2 linked regions of the Medicago truncatula genome follow. The main gene of each other region encodes a partner of the protein of the gene in region 2 in a complex. Links are inferred from orthologs where the notes say so. Each region holds a gene or a part of one and is shown on either strand. Other genes may lie near its edges.

Region 1 (11,388 bases), on a different chromosome or scaffold from region 2:
CAGATTTTGAGGGATAAGTTGGCAGCTTAGTTCAAAATGAAGGACCGCAGGAGGTTGAAGTACTTCCACGGCATAAGAAGACAATCAGTAGATGAGGCACAGTTTTTATTTTCTAATTTTATGCTGTAGTAACTTTTTAATTACGATATGCAGCAGAGAACCTATAAACATGTAACAGTAGTGTGAGAAATCAATTGATTTTTATACTTCGCCTTCTCTTCTCAAGTGCAATGCTCTTTCACTCTCTCTCTCTCTATTAAAATATTTAAAAATTAGCATGAAATACCAAAAACGAGGTTCAGTTTTCCCATCAAGCAACCTACTATTTTTTAAGAAGAGACTAAACCAATATGCATTGGCTCATACCTTGGTAGTTTAATAACTGATTGACAATTGGTTCAATAGAAAGAAGAAAAAAATTCATATAGTTGATTGAGCCTTGCTGAGGGTCAAGCACCAGTTCACAATTATATTGAACCAATCAAACGTATTAAAATCATTATTATCTATCAATTTATATTTGGATAAGCTAAAATCCAGGAAAATCGGCTATGTATCAGAATTGAGAACCTAACCAAGCCAAGCATTATAAGTTTAACAATCAATATGGTAAACGACAAATGTTGCAAGGAAGCATCTTTAAGAACTGAAAAGTTTTAATGAGGTTATGACTAAAAGCATCATATGGAAAGGAATTCAGTAAATCAAATTTAATTAAAGGCAACTTCAAGCATATCAGTACTTAAAAAGGACAAGGGTCTACCTTTAGAACTCTCTGTGATTTCTTCGAGGACCTTCTCCTCATCGGTCAACAACTTTTGCAGTTTAGGGATATTATCCTCAAGTTTTGGTATCATATCATTTGAGTTTTCACCCTCTTTCACAAGAGCTTCGATTTTTGATGAATCCTGAAATACGAATGAATGGATAAGGCACATCTCTCATACATATATTCAAGTGCAATAAATCATGTATTCCCATTACCTTTTCCGCTTTATCCTCCAGCTTCTTGATCTTCTGATTCATGTGCTTATAATCTTCTCGAAACTTGACATCCTGCCTCTCAAACTCCTTGAATTCTTCCTTACACTTCCTCATATCATTATCTAGCTCCTGTTACATGAATAAGAGAAGAAAAAACTTGGTTACTACCTGATGAGCTTATCACCAAGCATATAATGCCATGCCATGTCGTCATGCACACTGATAAGTTCAAGTCAAGTCCCATGTCGTGCAAACCTCTTGTATTTGAATATACTTGTTGTGCTTAGTTTCAAGCTCTTTCAGAATCTGTTTATTTTCTTGGATCTTATCCCTGGAATAAGATATCACAGAGTTCTTCATGAGTCAAGAATAAGAAAGGCGAATAGTTAGGAAAGTGATACATATATATAGACAAAGAAACTAAAGGTGAAATTCAAAATTACCTTTCTGCCTTAAGATTTTCTTCCAGGCTAGCAACACCCACTTGTAACTCATCCATTTTTCCCCCTGTATCATCAACAGCTAGCGTTGTAGCCTTCTCTTGCCATTTCAACAGAGATAACTCTTTGAGCATGTATGCTTCTGCTTCATTCTTCACATCCTGTTTCAAAAAAACTGTTAGGGGTTGTTCAAATATCAAGTGATCCATATAACCACAATTTTACATGCCTCCAAGCTGTCTCTTTCTTTCTCAGATAGCTTGACCATTTGCACCACACCGGATCTTCTCTCATTTAGAGATTCTAACCTAAAACATCAACAATACTTCAGACATTAGAAATTATATACTATAACTGAAATCCAAGTGATTATTTAAGCAGTGTGTCACCAATAAAGTATGAAAAACGGGTCCTTATTATAGAGTATATATAGTTTATACTTTCTTTTGTAATTAGTAGCTTAGGCAGTTAAGTGATGATAGCTGTATAACAGCTGCCGCAGCTTGCTAGAGAGATGTGGATGGGTTGGGCCTAAATCAAGTCCAGAAAACCAACTTTTAAGATGAGGGATGTTCATCACTTATAACCACTTTTCATGCCATATCACTATCCAATGTAGAGGTAGGGGTAGACCTAGAAAAACTATACAAGAAACTGTTAGGAAGGATCTAGAGATAAATGAGTTGGAAAAAGACATGGTTTTTGATAGAACACTATGGTGTCGTTTGATTCATGTAGCCGACCCCACTTAGTGGGAAAAGGCTTGGTGGTTGTTGTTGATCACTATCCAATGTATGACTCTCAGCCGTTATAACAGAATATCTGAGTGACTGGGAATAGGGGCTGTTGTCTATTAAGTGGTTGTAACATAACGTGAGTGGAGAACAAGAAAGGAGTTTGTCAATCTAATATGACTGAATTGGTCTTATGTATAGGAGAGGAATAAAGTGATTCAGGTGCTAGGGAACTGGGAGGCTGCAGCCCCTTGAGTTGCTGCTTATCCAGTCTTTACTACTTTTTCTGTATATCCTTATCTTGTATAGTTATCTTCTTACATGTAATGGTATCTTTAACCACACAAAATTTAGTTTCCTATCAATCAGTTTTCTTAGTTTCCTAACTGATCATAAGATGTTTTAAATCAAAAAAGTGAACTGAACCACTGTTAGTTTGGGTAAACACGTCATAAGCAGTTTAGTAAACAGCTTATAACATGAGAGCTTATAGGTAGGTAATGAGAGCTTTATCAAATTATAGCTCATGTCAAAAGAGCTTATGACATATATTAACTTTCGTAAGCTTATATGAGAAGCTTATTAAAATGACCCAAGAACTTATGGGTAGGCCTTAAGCTATGTTTATAAGTCTATCCTAATACTTGCTTGGGTATTTATGTCACACATAACCCCAAATAAACTCCAAAAAAACCTCTTATGTGTGCCCCATATATTTAATTGTAATTAGCAAATCAAACCAAATTAGGCAGCAACAACAACAAACAGTATCTATGCTTTTTTAATGTTCATTCAGAAGTTTGCATTCCAGAATTGAAATGGAGAAAGAGTGCTCACTGTTTATATGACTCATCAATTTTTTCTACATATTTGTTGGTCCCAATGATATCTTCCAAATATTCTAGAAAGCCTTCATCATGAGGTCCTTGAGATTTTGGTTTCATAAGTGAAATCTGCTCAACTTCGCCCTGATAAGAAACAGTTCAAGCATCAAAAGAGATATATAGGACCAACCACCTGCAAAAAAATATAAATTAAAAGCATCTTATATGAAATAACCAACCTGAAGGATCAGAAACCTATTATTGTCAAGGTCAACACCTTTTCCCTTCAATTTCTTGGTAACTTCAGTGAAGTTACTTGAACGGTTATTAATGTAATACTTAGAGGAGTTGTCCCGAAAAGCAACCCTTGTAATCACAAAGTCAGTTCCAGGAACAGTCTCGTATGTTCCATCTTCCTGCAGCCATACAAAATTCAATTCTAATTTTTAAATATGAAAGATCAAAGATGAAAAACACTAAAGGGTCATCAAACTGTAAATCTGAAAACTCTTCTTACCACTGGCAGTGTGGTATAAAGGTCTACTTAAAAACAAGCTCGTGACAGAACAAACCAAAGGAAAATAAGCAAACAAAAAATAATTAAAAAGCCAAGAGTAAGGGGCCGGTGTGTAAACTAAGGGCGCTTATCATTTTCCCCCTTGATTTTCCATTGATAAGTTTTACTACTAAATGTCTGCTGGAAATTCCACCTTAATTGCGACACACCTCTAGCCACCGTAATTTCGGAACAGGGCTGCTTTCATTGCAGCCTCCATGACCTTCATTGTACTGGCTTACATAGCGTTAGGGGGTGGGTTTAAACTCACATCACCTAGAGATATGGCTTAAGTAGTGCTTATAAAGTTTGGACAGTCCTCATTCCTCATGGGGTTGAGTTATACCCAAAAGCCCAAATTCTTTTCAGCTTTGTTCCTTCTTTAGTTTTACATTCTGGTTATACTTCCTTTCTTATTTAACCTTTTGTAAATTCTAAAAATCATGAAATAAAGTGAAGAGAAGCGATGCCATTTTTAGAATTAATAGTCAAAATATATTTATATTTTTGTTTGCTATTGGCCTAGTGGCTAACACATACTCAAATAAACATACACAGGAGAGGGGAAATGTGGAGACCCTGGATCGAACCCAGGCACACACATAAAATATCCTCACAGCCAAACCACTATATCATAACAACGCAGACTATAGTGATAATATATCAAATGAAATTGAAAACAAAAAAAAATATCTACAATCTTTTCGTTCTTCACAAAAAAAAAAAAAATATTGGAAGTCAAATTTAAAGAATTTATTGCTTGCCCAATTTATATCTCATCTTCAACAAAGATAACAATAAAAATCTAAATAGCACCAACAAAGCAGAGTAAATAAGAAAAGGTACCAAATCAACAATCTCCTGAAAATGAACAGAAACCCCAGCACTATCCAAATTCTGATGATTGCTAGAATTATGTATAAGCTCCGAAACTTTATTCAATCTCATCTGCAACCACAAGTTCCCAATTAAACAAAAAATTCACAAAACAAAAAAAAAAAAAAAAACTTTCCAAGCACGAATTACTTTCTAGAATATTCTCAAAAACGCACCTGCTTGGCTCGTTTTCCAAACACAAACAACATAGCATCAATAACATTACTCTTCCCACTTCCATTCGGTCCAACCACAGCCGAAAAACTCTGAAACCAAAATTTCACCAAATTTTAACTTCAAGTAAAATTGAACCAATTAAACCAATTGAATTCAAAAAATGGAAGAATCTAAATCAAACCTTATGAAAGGGACCAACGCGTTGTTCGCCGGCGTAAGATTTAAAGTTCCGCATCACCATTTCTTGGATGAAGAGCCTAGGTCGTCCGCGAGCTGATTCAGGTTGCGATTCCATTGAATTGGAACGAATTAGGGTTTGTTTGGGAATTTAGGGCACAGATCGAGAAGAAAGTGAAGAAGAAGAGTATCTTTTTGACTTTCGATTTTCTCCACGGTTATGTTAAGTTGCAATAATTCGAAGTGGAAGTTGAAGTGGAAAAGCACGTTGGCGGTAAGTGAAATTTTGGGGAGGGTTTCAAATTTTGAAATGAGGGAATTGGGGAAATTGTACTCAACCTAAACAAATACATTGTTTGGTTGAAGAGAAAGAAGAAGGTCAGAAATATATGATAGAGGATTACTTTTTTCTGTTTGGCTAATCAGTAGAAAGAAAAGAAAGTATTGGTGGGCTCCACCCAAAAATCAATCCCCTCTCCTACGCTCGAAAAGGTGACATAAGAGTTAAACGTTCTATTTGCTAAAAATAACGGATAGCTGATGGTTAATAATGAATAGTTTATAGTTAATGATTGATAACTGATAGCTGATAAATGTAAAATGGCATAAACGGACATTCTTAATTCATACTAAAATTGATATCAATTAATATTTAAGTATTTAAAGCATAGTAATTTAAATTTATTAATTTAATATATCATTATACTTCAGTTTTTTAATAGATGACCAAAGAAACAATTCAATTCAATTGTTCTTAGAAAATCTATCAATTAAGTTACTTCAAATTTTGTTTACCAAATTATTTATATCTGAAAAATCATAAATATTTCTTTTTCTTTGACGCAATTGTTCTTGGATAAATAATATAAGTATTTTTTGAATGAGAATAAATATAAGTATTTATGTCATTTACCACTAAATATATAAAATTTTCTTTCCTTTCACTTTCATTCCTACCAAACAATCTTGAATTCATCTTACTTTGTATTCACTTTCATTCCTTCAACATTCTTTCCTTCTACGTTATTTCTTTCCACTTTATATTGCCATCCAAACAAAGCCTACGGTTTTTGAAGGCTTCAAACATGAAGACGTATTTGTATCGGGTATGGATATTTCATGGATACTCGCAATTACGTACACATAAAGTAACATAATTATTTTTATTTTTTAAAAAATATTTTATCTGATACTTATATGTTACTCCACATATATCGTTACATGCAATTTTCAACTTATATTTCGAGCAAGTCAATTGCATTCTGATTGAAAAAGGTCACTTAGTGTTCGAATCAAGCAGAGGCAATTCAAGACCAAGACACTTCGAAGACCAGAGTAAATCATCAGGACTACTTGAAGAATTCAAGAAGAATAATGTCCAAGAAGCCTCAGCAGCTATTCAAATCGCCAAAGATTTAAATTTAGGAGACACTTGCCATTAATGCAATGTGGTACTTAATTTATTTTCTATATAAATTGAAAACTCAAACTTCAGTCGGAGTTCATTTCCTTTAGATAAAACTGAAAAAAAAATCTGCCCTCGTAGGATAATACTCCTACCGACAATGTTGAAAGAATGATGTATGAAACTCACTTAGATTAATCACAATTTTGTGCAAAACCTTCGTTTTATCCATCACAATTTTGCTTCAATGTCACGGTCTTCATTTGATGCAATCCATCATTCTCAATCGTTCTTGTGATAAACCTTCTTGGTAGGGTTTATACACCACAATTTATCTTCAATTTCTTGATCTTCGTTCGATAAAATCCATCATTCCCAATCATTTTTGTTTCTTCAATTGCATCATTATAATCATCACTTCGAATCTATGCTATAATTTCAATTGATTTGAGGGAACTCTATCACTATTTGTGTTCATTGATTTGTTGTTATTCAAATTGCTGCTCACATGAATACCATATTTCAAAATTTATGGATTTAGTGCTTTCATGTTTATTGAGTGATTTGATCATTTTTGCTCTTCGGTTTTTCACAATTGTTTGTATTATTTAGTGCTTTCATGATGATTACGAGTTATGTATTCTTTGGGGTAGAAATAGATTTGTTTTCCTCATAAATTAAGTGACTCTCTCATGTTAGAATATTAATCCATAATCATAGGGTAGTTAGTTACATAACCATTTCTGGACTTTGCTGAGTAGTTACTGATAACTTGCATAACAAGTCAAGTGTATATAACTAATTGCAATGCTCTTTTTCATCAATCAATGAATAACTAGATTACAACGAACTCTTTCTTTTTTCTAACTCATTCATACTCTTTCATTTGTTTATTCATTAATCCTCTTACTTCCAATACAAGAAACCTATTGTTGCTATAATATTTGGCATCTTGAGCCTTGGGTTTTGGTTATGGGAAACAGATGATCTCTGAGAAATACGAGTGAAGTGTGTGAAATTTTGGAATTTCTTGCAAAGCAATCATGGGTACTAATGGAGGCTTTGCCCCATCAAATTTGTTAACTTTGGATAGAAATAACTAGGAAAAATGGAGTGCATTGATTAAGTTGTATAATGGTGCTCAAGATGTTCTTAAATTGGTACATAATGGCTATGAGGATCTGGATCATGCGAATCCTATAGAGGTGCAAAGAACTGCTTTTAAGGAATTGAAAAAGAAAGACTGCAAGACACTATTCTACAACTAGAAAAATGTTGATACAAACCACTTTGAAAAGATTTCAAATATCACAAGATCAAAGGAAGCCTGGGTTAAATTGGAGAAATATTATGAAGAAAATGATCATGTAAAGCAAGTGAAGCTTCAACCCCTGATGAGGAAGTATGAATTGATGATGATGGACGAATATCAAAGAATCATTTATCACTTATCAAAATTGCTTTATGTAGTGAACCAGATGAAAGCATGTGGAGAAACTATTATGATCAACAAGTTGTTGCAAAGGTAATAAGAACTTTGACCTCAAAGTTTGATTTCATAATTGTAACCATTTAAAAGTCCAAGGATGTTAAAACTATGAAGAAAGAAAAACTTCAATCCTCTCTAGAAGTACATGAGATGCTGGTGATTGAAATAAGTTAAAAAATGTCAGTACAACAAGCATTGTAACCACAATTTACCAAGAAAGATTAATATGATAAGTATTTAAAGAATAAAGGTAAAGGAATGTTCAAAAAAGGAAGTTGGTCAAAGACTTTGTTATAAAGCTGAATCATCTAAAGGAGGAGAATGTTCTAGAAACAATTAGAATAAGAAGAAATAATTTGACAGGAGAAATGTATAGTGATATAATTGTGAGAAGTATGTTCAATATGCTGATGAGTGTTGGCATAAGAAAGATTGAAAGAAAAATTATAAAGGTGAAGAAGGCTAATTTTGCTCACGATAATTTTGATTATGAGGTAGTTCTATTGATGGCTACTACATGCGAAGTTGATCCTTTACGTGAGGAATGGTACCATGATACTAGGTGTTCAAATCACATGACTAGACATAAGGAATGACTCGTCAACTTTGATTCTATCAAGAAGACAAATGTCAAATTTGCAAATTATAGCAGAAGGCATTGGAGATATTGCTATCAGAATGAAAGATGACAATAAAGCACCAGTAAAGAAGGTTATGTATGTGCTAGGAATGAAGGGCAATGATGGTCGGATTAGGCAAGTGTATCAAATCGTTTATTAAGTAATAAAGTGATAAGTAGAGTATCGTATCCAGTCCACAAGGATTGTCGTTTCATCCAAACAATTTGCGTTACTTATTTTAGTTTGACGATATAAAATAAAAGAGTTAAGGGTTAGAGATTGCAATTTTTATCTGTGAGAAAGTTGCCTGTTTGGTTGCAGAAAAGTAAGCAGCAGTTATGACTCTTTGAATCATTAAATTTTTTTAAGAGTTTAAGGACAATTAAACAAACTTTGTTTTAGTAAGGACTGGAATTACATGTAAATATTTTTTGTAGGGATTAAAAAAACTATTAAAATTAAGTAAATACTAAACTTAAAAGTTTCCAATTTTATAGGAACCAAAAATATATTTAACCTTAAAAGAAAATTAGAAATTGTTGTATATAGATGAAACAACTATTTTTTTTTAGAACAAGCTAGTGTAATTACATGTTCTTTTTAGTATAAGATGGACAAACTTTGAAGGAAATAATTTTTTTTTTTTATGTTTTAAGGAAACAATATTTGGAATGATGAAAGTGAGTGTAAATTAGTGAGATAGGTGTAAATAATTTGATAAAATTTATAAAAATGAGTGTAAATAATCAAGTGGATGTAGGTTGCTAACTTACACTTTAATGATTCTAGGTGGGTGGAATTTGCTAATTTACACCTTAGTATTTTTAGGTGGATGTATATTAATTAACAGCTATATATATATAAGAAATCAAATTACACTAATGTAATGTTACACCTTTCAATATCGTTTTACTCTACATATATTTTTTAAATTTGAACATTTGATTGTAAACTTATATGATATAGATCATATATAATTTTTTACGTATGATGGAAGAAAGAGGGGGAAATGATGATAAGAAAGATTGAAGAAGGATGAGGGTTTTGGGTTGGTAAATTGTACAAAAAGAGGGTTAAGAAGAAAGATGATGAGGTTGTTGTTGTTGCGAATATGAAACTTTGTAAGGTTTTTTATTAAGTTTTTCTTTTGTTTTCTGTTTTTTTTTTCCATTAAACTCACAATTATGTGGCCTTTTTTATTATTTAATTATCGAAGTGTGTAATATGTTAGTCACATGTTTAATTTAAATGGTTGAATGACGGATTTGACTAACTTATTCCAACGCAAATAACGTTTTGGATCATTTTAAAACTTTTAAAACATAATGAAATAAAATTTAAACTTAAAATAAACATAATGGATCAATCATCTTTTACGCCGTTTGTAACAAAAGGACAAAGAAAATGCAGGTATAATTAGCGAGAGCAGTCGAAACACACAATATTCTTCTATGAGTCCTCTTCCAGCAAGTTCTCAATGAAAGTTCCTTTACTAGAACATTCAGAGGATAGGCATCTCTGAGTCTCAAAGTTACCTTACATAAAATCTGGTTTAGTTAGAGAAGGTATTCCCTCTGTTGCTAATTATAAGAAAATTGACTTTTTAATTAATGATGTATGTAGTATTTATTATGTACCACATGTGTTATTAATCGAATAAACTTAAAAAGTCAAATTTACTTATAATTAAAAAAAAAAAAAGAGTAATACCTATGCCGACAAACTAGTTGCCCTAGGTCATACATCATTAATTTTTACGTGGTGGAACTTCTTTTTGCTTTTTCCTTTTGGGGTAACGGTATAGTCCCCCTATTTGTATATATCTTTCCATTTTTTTTAATAATACTTATTAGCCCTAGATATGTGATATGACTCGAGATAATTTAAAATAGATGACGTATTGTATATCCTGCGTATCTTGCATCAATATTTGCTCGATACTTTCCGATACGTATCAGGAGAGTATCCGAATATTAATTTTTTTAAAAAAATAATTATCTGATACTTTTCAGATACATCTGAGATACGAGAGGTAGGCAGTGGAAAACCAAAATGTGCGGGCTACCTGATGATTCTACTGTATTTGGTATATATTTAATTGACTAAGTAACGATGTATTCTTTTTAGGATATATCATATATGTAATTGACTAATTGTCGCTTTCTTTATTATCAATATTACTTACATTTATATTTCTATTGTTGTCGCCGTCTGTTTTGTGTCTCTTTGTTTGTTTGAGAACGATGCAATTGTTAATTGTTGTGTGAAGGCAATTTCATTGTTGTGCCGTATCGTTTTTCTATGTCTGTTTGGTCTAGGTTTTGCGCCAATTTTTTTGCTTTTGAGTTTTAGTTCATATTTTGTATTTTGAGTTTTAATATGTAGTTTAAATTTAATTTTTTATTAAAGTATCTCAGTCGTATCGTATCTTGAATTTTAAAGTTTTCCCATATCAGCGTATCGGTACCGTATCGTATCATGTATCTAGGCTTCATAGGATAGGAGCTTAGGTGTCAATCTAGTTGGGATGTTTTCTATCCTTGATGTCACTAAATTCTTGATTTAGAAAGAAAAAAAAAATACAATTAAGACTTTTTCTAAATAAAAATATTTTCAATCATACATCATAATGGTCAAAAATCAATTTTCTTCAATATTACATGGTCAAAAATCAATTTTCTTCAATATTACATATTTGGATTTGAGATGTTTGACCTTTAAAAATATTTTTGTAAACAATTACAATATTTTATGCATAATATTAATTGATGTGGCGATTTTAAATATTTTTTAGGTTGTGTAGGTAAAATTATTTTGAACCGTCAACCAACCTCTATTAAACTCTTAAACAATATCATGAAGATTTAATATTTTGCTTCCACAAAAGAATGTAATATTTTGCTGTTATAAAAAAAATGCAATATTTGCAAAGAAAAGTATTACGGTTGTCATGTATCAATCACAAATTCCTCAAAAAAAAATGTTTCAACCACAAATTACTAGTTTGATAAACAAACTATGGTTGATTAATAATATATGTGTGTGTATTAAAAGGTAAAAAAAAATAAAAAAATAAAACTTAACCGACCTACATATTTTGTCAACC
Region 2 (11,203 bases):
GCTATCAAGTATGACAGAACAGCAGTATAAAACACTGATTGCACCTTCTGTGTGCCAGTTGACGCCGTGCCATTGCTGTCTGTATTCTGACTCTCAATGTCCTCTCTCTCTTTTGCAAGTTTCTGCTTCTGAATTTTACGGGCACATGATTCAATATAGACCAATTGATTCATGGCAGTATGACTTACGACAAATAAACATCTACTCAGCTTTGCGACTTGAACTGTGATTGGCATGCTGCTACTAGTGTCAGTGTCACTACCACCACAATCCTTATAAACAGAACTGAGGGATTTCTTTATCATGTCAGCTGCTATGATTTCTGGAGTAGGGTGAACGGCATAAATGGCAGTTATTGCTTTGTCAGCAGCTGCATACCAAATATTTGCTGGAAGCCAAAAGCCAGTAATTAAACTATCAAGAATGCCAAATATTCTAACACTATTATTTGCCAACAATTTTGCCTTGTCATCTTCAGAAAGCCTCTCGATAGCAAGGCAAGCTGTCCTTGCCAGTAAAGGATCAACTTTAGACCAACGACCAAACCCAATATCAATGATGTCTTGTAAATGAGAGCCAAGCACACCAGTTGATGTCTTTTCAACCATGCAAAGGACGGATAAAGCACCGCGGCTTTGTTCTGCGGTCGTTCCACCAACATTGAAGCAAAAGAAATCCCATAAAGCTGATATCTGCGATAGTGGAGACAATTTGAGAAAATCACACCAATGATGAGAACCAAACTCAATATGATGACAGCAAGAATTTATTTTGATATAGGAAATAAAAGACAGCACCCGTACTAATTCAAATAAGAGATTGTAGCCATTGCCAGCATAAACAATCTGAGTCCTACTTCCCAATGTACACGTTTTATGTTTATTTAAGAGCAGTATTTTTCACCAAATGATATGTAAGCATGAAAGTATCATCCAATCTCATTCCAAATCATATTTAAAATTTAAATTTTTAGACTGGGATATAAAACTAAAGAAAACATACAGCCTTGTTTACATCAAATATTTAAAGCTTATAAAATATTTTATTTAACTCAGAAAAGAACCACTGAACTGTTTTACAGTATGGATTGACATTTGGCATTTGACATAACTAGGATGTAGTGTTGCTAGTCAGTCATTTTTGTTAAAAAATATAGGCTCATTACTGTATTTCATTGTAAAATCCCCAGAAATGAAATATAGAAGTATAAACTTGAAAATTCGCGACCTCAGTGCATTTATCTTTTCAGGCCTAAAAACAGTCAGATTCCTAATTCTAGGGTATAAAATATAGTCCTAAAGAAAAATTTAGAGGCATTCAATTAACTATTTTATACAGCATATTATACAAGCCGATGCATGAAAACATACTGTGCTGGAAGATATATCTCCCTTAGAGACCAGTGTGCCAACTATAAACTCAAGAGCTGCTAGATCTCCTGTGTTGGAATCAGTTGCAAGACTCAAGAGATTCTTGGCAGTTTCCATTGGGTTTTTCCTTATGTATATTGCACGGAAAGCATTCTCCACTGCTTCAAAGATTGATTTATCCTGAGAAAATGCCTACAACCGAGAGCAAATGCCAGAAAGAAAGAATAAATTTCAGAAAAAATCTATAATTCATATACGCAGTACATAACATATTTAAGAAACAACAACATCCATCGACTTAACCAGACAGGGTCAGTTACATGGATCATACAGAACCATTCCAACTTGTCCATTGAAGCAACGACTACATAAACCTTGAATATCCTTGTTAGACAATAGAAAGAACTACGGCTTACCAGGGGCAACATCTTTCGGAGACATTCTTCTGAGCCATCAATTTGAAATTGCTTACACCTCATCAACAAGAGAATTGTATTTTCAACATCAGAAGCAGAAGATGATGCCATCAATTGGACAAGTGTAGCCATTGTGGCCTCTATACATTTAGAGAATCTCAAACCAGCCTCAAGCGATGCAACCAAGGCCCTAGTCTGCTCCAAGTTCCCAACATCAGGCACACTACTATCACTACCATTCTGCATAGGGATTGCATCTTCTTCCTGTGACATGAATGTATCAGTCACACTCTCTTGCCGCTCCTTCTCAACAGCTTCAAAATTCAAATCATCTACCTCACCATCCACGTTAGAGTTTTCATTGTCAGAACCTTCTGAAGGCTCAAGCTCTTTCAACTTCTTCCTATACTGATCCAAAGTTGCCTCAAATGAAGTTACTCGGAGCTGTGGACCAAATGGGTTATGCTGCAACATCATGATCAACAGATTCAAAGCAGATTTTCTGACTATTGCACTCTTGTCCTCCAATCTCCCAGCAGCAATTTCCGCAACCTCGTTCCACAAACCAATCGAAACTGAGTGTTCCTCGCATAACTCCCCCCACACCTGAAGCACACGACTCCTTGTGTAAGCAGAAACATCCCTACATCTCTCAAGTAAAATTTCCAACATAGCTTGTTTTGTGCGTAACCGAATGTTCTTCGTGCTCGCTTCACCATCAATATCCTTAAACGCTTTTGATACTAGCTTACCCAGCACAGCTACAAGAGCATTCCTAATCTTATAAGACTCTCCACCAAAGTGAGGAACAAGAATGCCAATGTTAGTTGATATCAATTTTGGAATACGGTCAGCTAACTCCACAAGAAAACGCCCCACATTTTCAGCACCAATAGTGTCTTTGACATAATCTTTTGGGTTAGTCCTTCCAATTTCCCTAACAATGGAAGTTGCAAGGCTTCCATCTGAATACTTCTTTTCGGCACCAGCAACTGCATCGGCCATGTGGACGACAGCAAAATCATACTTGTGAATCAGATGCATGATGGATACACTAGACTGTGTCGTGTAATGGTACTTTGTGGAGCAGGCCCCGATTATGCGACAGAGGGCATCTTTTGAGTTGGAATCTTTCAAAAGCGCGGCATTTTCAAACATGGTGAATGCGTTTCTACAACAAGTGGATGAAAAATCAGAAAGTCCTATGTAGTGTTAACAAACTTAAGAAAGAAGGATATCACTACTCACTTTGTGATGAAAGACAAGTAACCTTCGTCGGGGTCAGATGAACCAAAAAGTAATTCAAGGTTTATCTCCAATGAGCTTGCAATGAGATTTAGTATCCGAGCTCTCTGTGGCTCCCAATTCCACGAATGCGCAGGTTGTTTCTTCCTGCTACTTGCGGCTACCACCTGAAACCGCAATACACCATGCTTCAAACTAAATGGGGAATAAACTCGCAAATTCAACTTGAAAATTTAGTGACAAACACATTAGTTCTGAGAATACAAAATTCCTGTCGAAACAATGTGTTTGAAAAAGTGATTCTGAACTATAACTGATTCTGCTCAGAGAAAAATTTATTTTGAGTAAATTGATTATAGCTAAAAGCCAGTTGAAGGTAAGGTGATTAATGTTCAAGTACATTTACATAAAAGTGAATTGAACAATAAATTTGAGTGTTCAAATCAATTCTAGAGTTAAAAGCTTGAATTTCTAGCTTCAAGTAGAATCAATTGTGGAAGTCAAAATCAATTATAATTGAGAACAACCAAACATGTCAGAATCAATTTTTGCCCCAGTAGAAACAAAAATTAAACATAAACTAATTAATGTCAGACGCGGTTAAAGTTTAGATTATTTTACTCTAATAACAATTATAATTTATAATCTTAAAATTTATCCTAAAATCTTAAACCTATAATATTACAAATTAGAAAAGCTAATTTGAATGAAAAAGTAATTTAAAGGAAAAATCAATTTGAATTAAAAGTAACGAACCAAACATACCTTAGGAGCATTGTTGGAATCTTCAGCGAGAACAATATTAAGAAGAAAGTAAGTGTAAATTTTAAAAGCATTACGATGAGAAGCAACACGGTCAACAACAAGAACATGATCATCAACATCTTCATTAGAAACCCTTGAAAGCGAATCAACATTAGGAAGAAGAACAGCGAGATTAGAACGAAGACTTTCAACAAGGTTGAGTTTACATGAATGATGTAAAGAAGAGTAACCGCGAACCAAAGAGTAAACACGGTCGAATACGTCTTGGTCTTGGATGCAGAGGATTTCTCTGTCGGAGAGATCGAATGAGACGCCTTTGACGAATTCTTCGAGTTGGGAGGAAGAGAGGGAGGAGATGTTTGTAGGGTTTTGGACTGAGAGATTGTTGTTGTTGTTGTTGTTGTTGTTGTCGTTGTCTTCGGAGGATGAATCTTGTTCGAGGTGTTGGAGAGTGCGAGGGAAGACGAAGGTTGGAGCCATGGAAGAGAGAGAGGTTTTCTCTTCTGTTGCGTTGGATCTGGTCTGTGTGGAAGCGTACCGTTGGGTTAACTACGAAATTCAAATGAAAGTGGAAGTGGATAGAAGCGGGAACAAGAATTTGGTCTCAAATCTCAATTATCAATATTTTTAATTGAATGATATAATTGAAAAAAAAAAAATATTATTATTGCATTGGAAACTGAGGTGATGTTTATTTTAAAATAATTTTACAATTTTTTTTGCTAAAACAACACTTACTTTAAAACAGATGTGGTAAATCTTTTTTTAAACAAAGAGGTACGAACATCGTGAAGATGAATCCACAACATTCCAGCTAGGTAGATCCCCTACGGAAACATTCGTCGTCTACCACCTACTTCATATATATAAATTATATAATATATAAAGAAAATTACTCATTTCAGCTCTTTTGGACTGACTTTTTCTCTTTCCAAAAATGTCATCTTATCTTATCTTATCTTATTATATAATCCAAAAGTACAATAGACAAACCCTACTTTGCCAACCCTAATTACTTGAGTGGGAACCTAAATTGCCATACTTAATAAGCCAATTTGAAATTCAAAAATGTAACACAAACTAACTATTGGTATTCCAATAGCATTCCATGTTAGCTTCCTTCCCAATGAGTTGTTGTGCTTTTCCATTTTCCTTGCACTATGTTGTTTTAAATGCAGGCATTTTCCAATGCTTTACGGTTGATACCGAGTGTGGATGCATACAATGAGTTATGGATGCTTTCAATATATATCCTCCTCAGCTACTTATGAAGGCCAAAAATCAAAGTTAAATTTCATCCTATTTCTGCTTGCTCATTCCAACCATTCAGCTCATATGGCTCCAATCATAACCCCTGCCGCCGCCATTGTAGCTGGGAAAATCAACATTAAGCTGCGCGTTCGTGTGATACACCTCAGGACAATTCCTGAATTTAACAAGCCTAATGAGGATAATTCTATCCACGTGATGTTGCTGGACGATAAGGTTACAATTTTGTGTTATATTATTTGACCAGTTTTTTAGATAAATATGTTGATGAAATAGCATTTTGCATCTGACTATATATTTATATATTTTTGCAGCTTGGGAAGATTCAGGCCAGTGCTAAAAAGCATTTGGTTCCTACGTTTAAGTCAATGGTGGAAGAAGTTGCTACATATGAGGTTGAGAATGTTTTGGTTGCCAGAAACGATCCTAAGTATCAAACCACTCATCACAAATTCAAGCTCAATTTAATTGAGAGGACAAAGTTTACAAAATTTGATGCAAGCAATATCCCTATGAATCAGTTTGATATCCTGCCTTTTAATGACATACTAGAGTCCGATAGAGAGGAAAAGATAATATGTTTGTCTGTTTGTATAATATATTTAGTAGTTATTTAGGTTTTTTTATTGCGAGATTTATATAGGTTTTCCTGTCAAATTACAGATGTTATTGGCCACGTGGTAGAAAGGGATGTTCTGAAGGACAACAATGAGGTTAATGGCAGGATCAGTAAGCTTTTGGGCATTACGCTCCAAGATTATGAGTAAGTGTCTATCATACAATATGTTACCAAGTATAAATAGTGTTTTATAAATATTGTGCTTATATATTTCCAAAATTTCGGTTTTTTCCCGGTTTACCGGCTCTTAACCGGTTCTGGTACTTGACGATTTTTAGCTTTGATCAGACCGGATACAGGTCCGGTTCCCGGTCCAACCAGTTGAACTGGACGGTCCGGTCCGATTTAATAACCTTGGCTAAAATATACCTAATTAAGGTATGGAGAACATGTGTTTATAAAACTATTTCTTAAACGAAAAGGGGGTGAATATGACTGAAATTGTCAAGTATGTTTATGTTATTATTATCTTTCTTTCTCTATTTCTTGTTGCAACCAATATTAAAGGTAAGCCATTTTATCATTTTTAATTTTTCTTTTTTACTACGTACACGATATTTTATCGTATTTTTGTTATTATCTTATTCTCTTTCTTCATTACAACAACGTTTATTCGTGAGATTTTCTTAGTTAATTTTCCTAATTTTCTAATTTTTCTCACACTTAACTTTATATTTTTCTTACATTTAAATTTTTAAATATAAATATAGGGTTTGTTCTCTTTCAACATATATGATAAATAATACGTCTATACAATTAGTGGTTTATTTTTTGTGTCGTCATTAATATATCAATTCAATTTATGTTACACCCTGATTTTTGACAGCGACCGTGTAATTTTTTAATCAATTTCTGAAAACGATTTAAAACTTTAGGCATGATCATACTTTCATAAAGTTAGAGAATTTTTTTGTTTCAACTCCTATTCTAAAATGATGATAAGATTGAATACGATTTTTGGAAAGACACACTTGTAACGCCCCAATTTTATTTAATTATTATTGGTCGATTTAAAGTCTTTATATATATATATATATATATATATATATGATTTTATATTATTATGTGGTGTGTTATATTTTATTAAATAAGTTATGTTACTATTTAATAGAATAAGTGGGAATTTAGAATAATTGGAGTTTTGGGGTTATATTTTAATTATAGGAATTAAGTAGGAGTTAAGTGTTATAATTGGGGAAGTTGGAAACGATCAGTAAGAAACATTTTCACGTGGAAGCATTTTTTGGGAGAAAAACCAAGAGGGAGCCAAGCAGTGGCGTTGCCAGGACCCTAGTTCAGGGGATGCAAACTTTTTTTTTTTGTTAACATTGCCAGAGTGATAAATTCCACATAAAAATCCACACACAGAGGATATAAATGGTTAAATCATGCTTAAACATGAATAACCACAAAGAATGTGAAGCTTAACAATCCTGACATTGATGGTCAAATCAGACTCTAATATATGAGTGTAAACATTTTTTTTTGTCAAGTTTTAACGACAAAAATTTCGCTTCTAAAAGTGAATAAGCGAAGAATCTGAGGTTCGAACGTAGTACCTTGCATACTGCAATACCTCTATCAGCTGAGTTAAACTCATGTGACTGTGTAAACTTTTTAACATCAATTAATAATTATTATAATGTATATAAATTAAAACATATCTTCGTGAGCTTAGCTCAGTTGGTAGGAATATTGCATTTTATATGCAGGGGTCGGGGTTCGAACATCGGACACTCCAATTCTCCACAACTTAATTGTATGAGCTCTAGAGACTAAGCTACTTGACCTAAAAAAATAAAACATACATTTAAATTATGAAATTTTAGTATATGTTTATTAAATTAGCTAGAACATTTTTTTAAAAGGAAAACTATCTAATGTCGAATTTTAGTTATATATGTTTGTAACCTTATAATATAATCATTTTTACAATTTTATAATAATAATTTAATAAAATGCGAATAATGCACATCTCACTGACACAATCCATTCGGTCAAATAAAATGTAATGCAAGGCAGTCATTTACACAGTTCAATGAGAGAGTAAAGACAGAGGGTTCATAGTTAAATTTTCAGGGGGTTCATTCAACAAAAAGTTAGAAAATTAGGTGCAACTATAAAATTTGAGGGGATGCAGCTGCATCCCCTGAGCCCAACGTGGGTCCGCCACTGGAGCCAAGAGTATCCAAGAGAAGATCGGGTAGAGCTTTGGTCATCAATCTAAGGTAAGGGTGGGACTATCATTCAGTAATCTTAAGTTTATAATTTTGAAATTGGATGTAACAGGTAGTTGTTCTTGATTTGGGAATTTGGGAATTAGGGTTGAATTGTTGAAATTATTTGGAATTGAGTAAGAAAACCTTTGTGGTTATAGTCTTTTGGTGTTCTGATCATAGGTTGGTCATATAATATTGTTGTAATCAGTTTTGGGGATTGAATTGGGTTAATGAAAATTGGGATTTTCCCTTGAAAAGTCGGTGTCTAAACGTTTTGCAAATAAGAGACTATGTGAGGTTTGGGGAAAATGATCCTTGGGATGGTTGAGACTTGAAATTGCTGTAGATTAAGATAGAGCCAAGTGTCAGGAGCGTGTAGGCGAAAACGGCACCAAAATCCGATTAACGATTGAAATTTTACGCGCGAAATGGTGAAAATCGCACTTTTTGAGAAGCAGATTTCTGGACCTGATGCTGTTAAAACATGTCACGATTTGGCAAGCGTGGCACGATTTTGTTGGCCGAAAATTCAATGGTTCTGGGCACAAAAACGTGGCACGATTTTCTAAAATCGTGACACGATTTCTGTGAATCAGATCCCTCTTATTTCACTATTTTCACCCCTTTCCGTTTTGAACTGGGTCTTGGTGTAAACATGAAAGTTGTAGATAATTTTGTTAGCTTTCCAATGGCGTTGGTTTGACTTGAAAATGATTTTTAGTTTTTGAGATATGATGAAAATACTCAATGGAGGTCTTAGTGAAATCTTATGAAAATTCAGCATAACCATTTCTAAGTTAATCCAAAACTTATGGGATAATTCCAACCCTTAAAACTAGAAGTACTATGAGTTCAATTAAGGTGTTTAGGAGTATTTAACCCATGTTGTGAGTTGATCCTTGGGTTAGGAATTAAGGTTTATTAAAATGTTGTTGATGTTCAGTGAGTCTGATAAAAGATGGTTGAGGTTGTTAATCTTATAGTAAATTTGCAAATGCCTTATGTGGATTATGTATGATGTTTAAGTAGTGTTGACTATCATTTGGTATTGTCATATTTTGGGATGTCTGTGTGCTACTAGTGTTGCTGTTGGATCTTAATTAAGATGTGAATGTTGGTTTAAATTGTAAGCGTGCTGGGTTGTACGTTGCCGAATGAGTCATAAGTAAGTTATGCAAATTGTCGATGTTGTTATCATCGTTGGTGTTGTTGTTGAAGTCGTAGTTGTATCCGTTGTTGGTGATTGATCATGTTAGATGTTTTATAAGAGGTGGTGTACTCTTACGTGTCGTTTTTATAAGAGGTGGTGTACTCTTACTTGTCGTTTTATAAGAGGTGGTGTACTCTTACTTGTTGTTTTTATAAGAGGTGGTGTACTCTTACGTGTCGTCTTGATAAGAGGTGGTGTACTCTTACTTGTCGTTTTTATAAGAGGTGGTGTACTCTTACTTTATCGTTTTTCTAAGAGGTGGTGTACTCTTACTTTGTTGTTGTCTATAAGAGGTGGTGTACTCTTACGTTGTTTATGTTGATGAGTATGATGAGGTTATGATGTTACCTATGAGTTGTTAAATGTACTCGAGGAGGGTTATGTTAAGTTGTCTTCTATTCATGAGCATTAAGGGGATGTTAAGAAGAATTATTATTGAGTGCATATGGTGATGTCTATGTTGTTAATTGTAATTGATGAATTTTACACTTATTATTATTGTTTGAGAAATCTCACCCCTTCTGCTTGGAAATGTTGCCCTTCGTATGGGTAACTTGTAGGTATCTGAAGATTAGTAGGAGTGGTGGCTCAAAGTGTCTAGGGCTCTGATACGTACGGGATGAGATTTTCTTATTGTTTTTCATTCCTATGTATCAATTTTTGAATATTGCTGACGTAGCCCTATGGTTGTTGAATTTATGTTGATAAGGCTTTTATGCCAAGATTTAATTATGGAGATTTAAATTGTTGTTGTTGTTGTTTTGATGCAAATTTTCCGCTGCAAAATTAAAGATGATTTTGAAGGATGTTTATTAAATAGATTTTATATTCTATTTAAGAAATTTTGAAAATATAGTGTGACATGCCCGTTTGAGAATTACTCTGATGCATGTTTATTAATTAATTGATTTTGGGAAACGGGGTGTTACAACACTCACTACAACTTCAATTAAAAATAAACATCTACCCAAAATAAATGAAGAAGTGATAACTTCACTAAGATCCTTAGGATTATCTTTAACTCAAAAGACAACGTTGGCTGGGTACTAGAGAACCCCTGTTGAAACCAAATACAAAAGCATCTGGTCACCAATCCAAGTCGTTTCTCTTCTATGGTTCAACCTTTATCACGATTTCTATGTAATTTAATCTATTAAAGCCGAAGTTGCTCAAACTAGTCCATCACAATAGTAGAGGTCATAATATAAATACAACATATATACATAAATCATGGAGGAAGTACACAATGCATGTTATAAAGATAAAGGATGCATAGTGATGACATGTTATCTTACGTTATTTTTAGCATATTTTTCAACCATTTTCAGTTAGTTTTAATCAAGAATAGAGGAGTATTAGAACAATTACCTATGGTTTTCGGAACATTTGTAATGTTTTCTAATTGAATTATGTAATTCTAGTTTTCTCCAAAACATACCAATTCTAGGGTGTTTTAATTTAGTTCAAGAAGAAATCATGCAAATCGACAAAAGCAAAAAATTTGAAGACTTTTGACAATATTGGGAAGACCATGAATGAAGATTCAAGAGGCCTCAGAAGACATTTCAAAGGGAGAAATTATGTTCTCAAGTCCCAAGACATCTTATATTAAAGCAAACACCCAAAAAGACGAAGAAACATGTGATTACACGCAAAAGCAAACACATGCAGCTTGAGCATGCTGCCAGGCGCTCTGAGCATGGAGCATGCACCTTGAGCATAGAGAAATGGCCTATGCACCCCAGCCATGCGCCTTGAGCATGCTGGGAGCGGATCAAAACTGCTTTTTCCACTTTTTTCAGTGGAAAGTCCAATTTTTCAACCAAAACCAAGCGAAAACTTGTCTATAAATACCAAACCGCTCACTTGTTATTTATCATTCAGAACAAAGCGGTTCAAGAGGAAGGCAACCATTAGGAGCTTCAAGGGAGGAGTCTCCTCTCACTCTAAGTCTCTAGGGTATGTTTTATTTCTTATGTAATTTGTTTTTAGTTACCATGAGTAACTAAACCTCTTTAGGCTAGAGTTCTATGATGAACATCTATTTTATTTTATTTTTTTAATTTAAGTTCTTTATGTTGAAAAAAATA

Evidence for each region. The genes of interacting proteins can lie anywhere in the genome.
Region 1: condensin complex subunit 1 (region 2) and structural maintenance of chromosomes protein 4 share a complex: the UniProt entries of both Arabidopsis thaliana proteins name them as parts of the condensin complex. The link is inferred for Medicago truncatula from reciprocal best matches to the Arabidopsis thaliana genes AT3G57060 and SMC3.

What each region holds. Positions count from the first base shown.
Region 1 is NC_053049.1:33,258,053-33,269,440, reverse strand, and holds the start of structural maintenance of chromosomes protein 4, read right to left. Parts: upstream 5,104-11,388; 5' UTR 4,887-5,103; coding exon 4,773-4,886; intron 4,681-4,772; coding exon 4,591-4,680; intron 4,487-4,590; coding exon 4,385-4,486; intron 3,399-4,384; coding exon 3,222-3,398; intron 3,127-3,221; coding exon 2,996-3,126; intron 1,733-2,995; coding exon 1,654-1,732; intron 1,586-1,653; coding exon 1,428-1,585; intron 1,316-1,427; coding exon 1,240-1,315; intron 1,114-1,239; coding exon 985-1,113; intron 909-984; coding exon 764-908; intron 1-763. UniProt on the Arabidopsis thaliana protein: Central component of the condensin complex, a complex required for conversion of interphase chromatin into mitotic-like condense chromosomes.
Region 2 is NC_053042.1:20,609,102-20,620,304, forward strand, and holds the start of condensin complex subunit 1, read right to left. Parts: upstream 4,369-11,203; 5' UTR 4,277-4,368; coding exon 3,797-4,276; intron 3,199-3,796; coding exon 3,035-3,198; intron 2,958-3,034; coding exon 1,787-2,957; intron 1,563-1,786; coding exon 1,371-1,562; intron 693-1,370; coding exon 45-692; intron 1-44. UniProt on the Arabidopsis thaliana protein: Essential protein. Regulatory subunit of the condensin complex, a complex required for conversion of interphase chromatin into mitotic-like condense chromosomes.